Linked DNA regions of Caenorhabditis elegans. The protein of the gene in region 1 interacts with the protein of each later gene in a pairwise test. Each region holds a gene or a part of one and is shown on either strand. Other genes may lie near its edges.

Region 1 (3,755 bases):
GAGTAGATATGTGACTGATTTATTTCGAACAAGGAAGTTTCAATGACTTGACCTCGTTTCGCTGCGGGTTTCGACCATTATGAATAGGCTTTTTTTTTCTAGAAGTTGGTCATCTCTCATTCTTCTCTTCTACCGACTTATCTCGCATACTGATAGGTTGCCATCAACTCTAGATGGACGCATAGATCCTAGCGTAATTTTGAGGTTATTCTATTCTTTTTAGAAGACAATTTCGGTTGTGATGATCTCAAAGTAGCGGTGTCCTGGTTTAGAAATTTACCTTCCGATGATCCGATAATCAGTAGTAGTCATCGCACCTAGCTCTATTTTTTGGAAACTAAAAGTTTTGTTAGAGACTGTATATGTAGGAACACTGTTTTGTTAGATTTTTAGTCTTTCTGAACGCGAAACATAGAGTTTCGAACCTAGAAGTGTTCAATCAACACCGAATTTAGATTCAGCTCCCGACGTGGGGAGAGTGGTTGCGATGTTGGCAGAGCAAGTAGGACATGATGATTAGACGTTTGAGCATATTCAGTTGGACAGCTGCTGCCGTCTTGGCACCACCTATATTGAATCCCAGTTGGGGTCAGGTTCGGGCCGTGTGAGATGGAAAGAGAGAGAGAAAGTAGGGAGAGAGTGAGTGTGTGCGTTTTGTGTGTGTGAGGGTGTGTGTGTGTGTGTGTGGCCGAGTGTCATTGTTCGAGTAGAATGAAGCGAAACAAGAAATAATCGATTGACTTATGTGTCCTCCTCCGCCTTCCTTCATCTTCTTCGTCCGTCCGTCCCCGTCCGTCCACGCACCCTCAGCCGCTCCTAGTGGTTTTCAATCTTCATCCTAGTCTTCATCAGCATCATCGTCGCCGTCATCTCAATTTGTTTCTCACGCGCTTAATGTTTGTATTTGTGAATGTGCCAAGTACTACCACCGTACTTGTCGGTGCAAGACACCACCATTTTAGTGTGTTCTAGAACATTTTGTAAGAGAAAAGAAGTCCACAGCTCTTCCAAATCTATTCCAAATATATTACTTTCAGGACTGAATTTTCGCTAACATGGTTTTTGGTGGATTACCGTTTCATGAATTCCAGACTATCCTAGGTTAAATTTACGGAGACTTCACCTAGTTGCGTATCTCCAACCTAATTATGATCCTTGAACCAATAATTTTGTATTGTTTCTCTAGCCTGCAGTACAAAATTAGTTAAACCTCATAGTTTCGAAATTGGTATTTTCACAAAATTCGCCACATTGTATTTTTCTTTAACTATAAAAATTCTACGATATTACCATCTGCATTGCACACAAAAAACATTCTTTTCCAATACTGTGACTTTAAAGGGGGTGACCATTTATTCGAAATGGTCCCGCCACGCGCTCTAGCGTGGCGAGACCATTTCACAAAAATGCGCTCTCCTTTAAAGTCGCAGAAGTGTAGAAATTTTTTTAAATTTTTTTTCGAAAAAAAAACACTGTTTGTGTCGTTTCTTGTTGACCTCTGCTTCACTAAACGATTTTTGAATAAAGATTTGTTCTTTAGTAGATTCTGACCACAAAGAACCCAGAAACCTGTGAATATTTCCAAATATCAGTATCTCAAAATTGCTCTAATCTTAAATTGTTTTGTATGGAGTTTCGCGAATCTTTCCAGTACGGCCTAAGCAAAACTAGCAAAACTAGAAAAAGAGTTCAACTCTCCACCACGGGAAATATGAATAACTCTTGGAAAAATTGACACGAAAGTAGTGTGGTAAAGTAAAGTAGAAAGTAGAAAGTAGGTGGCTTTTGATGAGTTGTAGATGATCACGTTCATCAAACATTTCAAAAGAAAAAAAAACTTAATTTTTCCCATGATCATCTCAACCTCCTTCCCTTTTTTTCCCTAATAACATTTTGCTTTTTTCTCTCACTATCTGCGTATCTTCTTTCTATCATCATTCCCCATTTTCTCTGCGCTCTCTTCTCTCTCTTATTGCTTTTATATTGGGTGAAATGATGTGACGTCACACGGACACCACCTCGTTTTGGATATTCAAATCTTTTGTTTTACTAATCTGCGTCTCTTTCTTACACTACACTATAAGTGCCGGTGACATTATAATTTCAACTTTTATTCCAGAACAAACTCAACACTAACTGATTGCTGTTGTTCTCTTGGACTCCAATGCAAGCTCTCGACGAACGGTGTTAATCGATTTTTATTTTGCTCCGCTCCACTTGAGTTTTGACTGGATTCCATTTATTTAGTATTTATATACAATAAATATGGCACAGGTAGGTGTTTCTATTTACAGTTATATTAAACGAACTCAAAAAATATTTCGTGTTTGGAATATTCAAATTTAATATTTATTATGTCAAGTAATTTTCATTAAAAATGGGGTAGCGAGTTCGATCAATCTAAATACTAAAATTAAAACTTACTGAATTCCGAATTCAGTTCACAAAAAATAACAAATTTTGGAGAAGACTGAAGGTTTACCCTAATAAATGAGAAAATAAGCATTTTCAGTCTATTTTTGGACAGTTTTAGTGTAATTTTAAAATTTTTGCTACCTCAAATTTAGTTGAAAATTAGAATCTTAATTGAAAAAATTCGAATAACTTTTTAAACCCAATGTTTTTAAAGGTTCAACAAGTTCCATCGTCACCTATGAATGGGATTCCTGAAAAGAATGGAAATGGTTTGAGTATCGAAGAATCAGCTTCAACAGCCGTCGCTGCACTTGCACATATTCAAAATGGAGCTGTTCTATTTCATGGAACACCTACAAAAGATTTGAATGGAGCTTCAACATCAATCGATACCGATGATTTACAACTTTCACCGAGTGATCTACGGCGGCGGAGTACACGAGCAAGTGCTCTGAAGGCTCAGGAAAAGATTAAACTGAAAGATGATATTGTACAAGGACCACAAAAACGGGCGAATGATGATGATGATATGGAAGATGAAGAGTTGGGAGATGAAATTAATGAGCAATCAGCTCCAAAAAAAAGAAGACTCGAAAATGGAAAAGAGTTTGATCAAACATGTTTCCGATTTGGACTTCGTGCGAATAATGAAGGTGAAGTATACGCAATGACTGATGAGAGTGAAAATTCTTCAATTCATGAAAGTGAAATGGAAGTTGTGAGGTATCATTATGAAAAAATGAAGAATAAGGAACCGGATGAGGAACAATTAAGAGAACGTTTAAATATGAGAAGAGAAGCTGAAAATCAGTTACGAGAAGAAGAGGCAAAATTGCTAGTTTTGAGAAAAATGAAGGATAGTCAGACAAGAGCTATCACCAAGGTTCGTTTTCTTCACTATTCGAGAAATAAAAACGCCAATTTTAGATAAAAGTGTAACTTCACAAATAGTTTAAAAAAATTTTCATCATAAAACTCGCAAAAATTCCGGATTTTTGCCCTGAGAGAATTGTAGTTAAATTTTCGGCGAGTTATGATCTGAGAATAGGAAATGCTTCAAGTTTTATGCTGATAAAATGTTTCATTCAAAAAACACACATTTTCAAAAAAACCGACAAAAGTGAAGGAAACTCTTTGTGAAACTGAAATCTGTATGAAATAAAAATAAATGATCAAAACTTTTTTGTATTAATATTTTTTCCAGCTGGCCGCCGAAACTAAAGCTGCTGATCTTGCTGAAGCGACATCTGCAGCATATAAACCAGCGGTTGCTACAAATGGAAAATCTGTTACTAATGGAAAGAATTCGATGATTGAGTCAAATAACAAAACAATGAATG
Region 2 (3,755 bases), on another chromosome or scaffold:
ATTTTAGATCAATTTTTCTAATGTTTTGAAGCTTTCAAGTATTTTCGATTGCAAGACCCAACGGTTTTCAAAATTTTACTTTTAGTCTCAAATGAAAAGTTTAGTCAACATTCGGCAAGAATCGGATCAAACGTAGGCTAAACTTAACACATCACAGCTATAACCTACTCGTAAGCAAGTAGCTGATGTAAAATCCAAATAAAAACAGTGTGTGCTTCAATTCTTCCACAGAAAAAAGTACTCACCGTATGATCCAGGTGTGCAGTATGAAAATGAAGCAGAAGACGATGGGAACTGTTGAACCATTTGATGCAAGATTTACATTTAGCTGGAGACGATCCTCTTATGATATGCTCCGAATCTACATGAAACTGCAAACTCGTGAAGCTGTTGAACTTTGAATTGCACGCTGTGATGGGACATTCAAAGGTATTTCCTTTCTTGATATGGGTCATCATGTGCTCTTTCATCTGAGTTGGATTAAAAGTTGAAGAGATTGTTTTCTAATCTGTTTAATGTTTCAAGAAATAATGCTTAATGCTTTATACTACTAGAAAGCTCGATCTTTCTCAAAGTATATTTGAAAATACAACTTTTCTTGCATAACTGAAACTTTCATATAAAAAACTGATGGTCAGATCTGGAAAAAGTAAACGACTTTTAACAATCTTAACTTTGTTTTCAATAAAAATATTTAAAACAAAGCTTTTAAATTTTCTCTAGCTAACAGTAAATTAAAGCCAACGTATCAGTACACATCCACAGAAAAATAATTCCCCTACATCATTTGGCATGCTGGGTGCTAATTCTCTTTTAATTTTTTAGTGCTTTGGCATTAAACATTTATTTTTGAACAGATTCGCAAATCACAGATACCAGTAATCGTAAATTGCATTCAGTGATTATTAAAAACATCATGAAACACATAATTAAAATTTTTGTGTCAATTTCTGAAAATCAATAACACAGATTGTTTCATTCTGCTTTAAATCTGATGTACGAGTGATAAATTGAGTCAACTTTTAGGAAGCTTTTTTCTAGCATTTTTTTTAACGTTTCGACAAAAAAATCGAGTTATTTGTAAGCGTTTGGAATAATTTCAAGTAATTAACTTTCGTAAAGTAGGTTACTTAGTGAATTTTTTTGGTCACTAGAGATAAAGCTTGTACTAAAACGACTAAACTTTATAAAGAAACTTCAATAAAATATCCTCTATACAAATTTATCGGAAAACCACAAGAACTAACCCGATCATTCCGAAAAAAAGGTCTTCTGCAGAACTGACATTCAAACTTCTTTTTTCCACTGTGCATCACCTTATGACGATTCAAGTTTGTCTGAAAAAATATACATGGAAATCAAAATTTTTCTACGATTTTAGTAACTTGTTTTTTGTTGCTTTTCGATTTGAACAATGTTGTAAATTGATAATTAAAAAGAAATTTTCTAAAGATTTGAGTCTTGCGTCTCAGTTTTTCAAGAGCCAAACAAGAAAGTAGTTTACGAAACCATAAGTAACCTGGTAGGCACTTTAGTTTCTACCTATAACCTTTAGTACTCTCCACTCACCTTATTGGAAAACTTCTGGTGACAAATATCGCATTTTTCCATTTTGTAATTTGGAAGCTGGGAGGAATAAAGTCAGAGAGTGTCAGAAAGTGACTATAGGATTTTCTATTCCAAACTTTGGGTGGAGCACAAATTGTTTATAACTTCTCGGGTACTGTCGAAGGTCATTTGGGGGAAATATACAATCCTAGGTGTCAGATATCTTAACAAGTCGGAGAAGAAGCACATCTTCCGACATAACAGATAAGCCGGCTGCCGCTACTTGCCAGATGGTTGGTGACAAACTGGGGTGATATATAGTCAGAGGTCACTTTCATGATTTGGAAGAGAAGGTAGCAAATATAGTGGACAAATTGATATTAAATTACAATTGGGGTCAATTTTAAGAACAGTTACAGTACTTTGGACTGTACGAGTAAAAAAATCCTTTTTTTTTTTTAGAATTAAATTTCCTGTTTCATAGAAAACATTTGTTTGACTGATTTTAAATGTTTCATTCGGTTTTTATTTATCTCTGTAAAGTCTTTTCATTATTGTTAGAATTCAGAATTTTTACAGATTCATGAATTCACTAAAATTTTATGAGTTTCAGGATTTGTTAGTTTCAACAATAGAATCCCCCATCTCCTGCAAAACCGCAAATCACGTGGCGAAAAAAAGCGTTTTGTTCATAGCGTAATGCTCTTCCTTCTTCCTAATACATTAACCATGGCACAAATCGAATAAATTAGCATAATGTGTCCAGGAAGAAGACGACATTGGAAGACGTTTCTGGAGAAAAAGGGAAAAAAGGAAATCAAGTTTTTTCTCTTTTACCTTGGATGTCTGTAATATAGGATTACATGCCGGAAGAAGGTGAAGAGTGCAAAAATATTAGTTTTTAATGGAAAATGCTTTCGATTTTAATGTCAGGAATCGAAGATTCTCCGTGATAAACTTCTGGAAATAATATTTATATTTTTAGTTATCGGCTTTTTGGTGTATGAGATCTGATTTATTCAGTATCCAAAGATAGCTGGAGAGGTCTTACTCAAGAAAATGTTTTCATTTATTTTCAAAAAAATATCACTGTTTCAACAAACCCTTAAAATCAAGCTATAAAAGGCAGAAATGTTTTCAATCGAGATAAATAGGCTCTGATATTTTTTCAGATCTGAAAAATAACTATGAGTTTGATGGAAAGAATGAATGCCATTTTTCAAATTGAACACGTTTCAAATAGTCCATAAAACAGTTAACAATTAATTAATTTTAATCGGGATCATGCTCGACCTCTAAACGTATTATTTCCAAAATTATCCGGTGAAGATTTAGATAAAATATTTAAAAATCCGTCACATTTTTTTCGCATTTTCCGAAAATTTCACAGTTTCAACATAGCTAGAAATTAAATGTATTTTAAATTCAAACTGATTGCAACGGAATTTTAAATGTGAAATATTCAAATGTTTTTAACGTCCAACAAAACCACTGTTTCCTCTGTTTACAGTTTCTAAAGTAGTCCAAAAACCGAAAAATGAAAAAGTTTTGATTTTATTCTCTACTTATTTTTTTGCTATTTTTCATCTTGTACCTTCTACATCATCACTAATTCTGTCTAATGCTCTTGTTGCTCTTCTTCTTCCTCTGCTCATGTTGTTACTTTTTCCTAATTCCCAGCTTTTTTCTCTCTGCTTACCAGTCTAAATAATAAAAATGAGAAATCATAAATACTAAGTTGAAACAAGATACTGCAAAAGTGATATGAAATTAGTTTTAGTGATGTAAATCTTTAACTGTTTCAATATCCTTGTAACTACAGTATACTATAGTATTGATAGTTTTGATAGACTTCCTTAACGCTAGGGCATATTTATGTTTAGTGGTTCTTCAAACAAAAAAAACGTCGCGGGTAGAATATTGACTTTCTTCTCCAAATCTTTCAAATATTTTTAAAATTTGACTTTAACGATTTGAGCCGCCTATTTCACAGCAGCTTTACCAACAATCCGCTCACAATTATGAAAATAAAAATGAAAAAAGGATTACCCCTTAATTCAAATTTTTCCCGGGGTCTATAAATGTTGCACAAAGTTGTTGGAGCGGGACCTCTTGGGAACCATAGGCTCCGCTCAAAAAGTGCCGTGCGCTAGATAGTGTTCTTCATGACGTCACTGGAACAAATATAATTTTTTAATAAATTTTCG

The links. The genes of interacting proteins can lie anywhere in the genome.
Region 2: the proteins of dcp-66 (region 1) and ehn-3 interact in a two-hybrid assay, tested with the Caenorhabditis elegans proteins (one large-scale study listed by BioGRID).

What each region holds. Positions count from the first base shown.
Region 1 is NC_003279.8:7,540,522-7,544,276, reverse strand, and holds the start of dcp-66 (Transcription factor dcp-66), read left to right. Parts: upstream 1-2,117; 5' UTR 2,118-2,265; coding exon 2,266-2,274; intron 2,275-2,629; coding exon 2,630-3,298; intron 3,299-3,619; coding exon 3,620-3,755. UniProt on the Caenorhabditis elegans protein: Transcription factor which binds to the 5'-CCATACATTA-3' motif found in the promoter region of pgp-12 and activates its expression in the excretory cell.
Region 2 is NC_003282.8:5,417,585-5,421,339, forward strand, and holds the start of ehn-3 (Zinc finger protein ehn-3), read right to left. Parts: upstream 1,639-3,755; 5' UTR 1,612-1,638; coding exon 1,570-1,611; intron 1,338-1,569; coding exon 1,248-1,337; intron 879-1,247; exon of another isoform or gene 858-878; intron 585-857; exon of another isoform or gene 564-584; intron 471-563; coding exon 246-470; intron 1-245. UniProt on the Caenorhabditis elegans protein: Together with the zinc finger protein ztf-16, plays a role in gonadogenesis, specifically in somatic gonad precursor cell development. This is possibly by regulating tra-1 gene expression.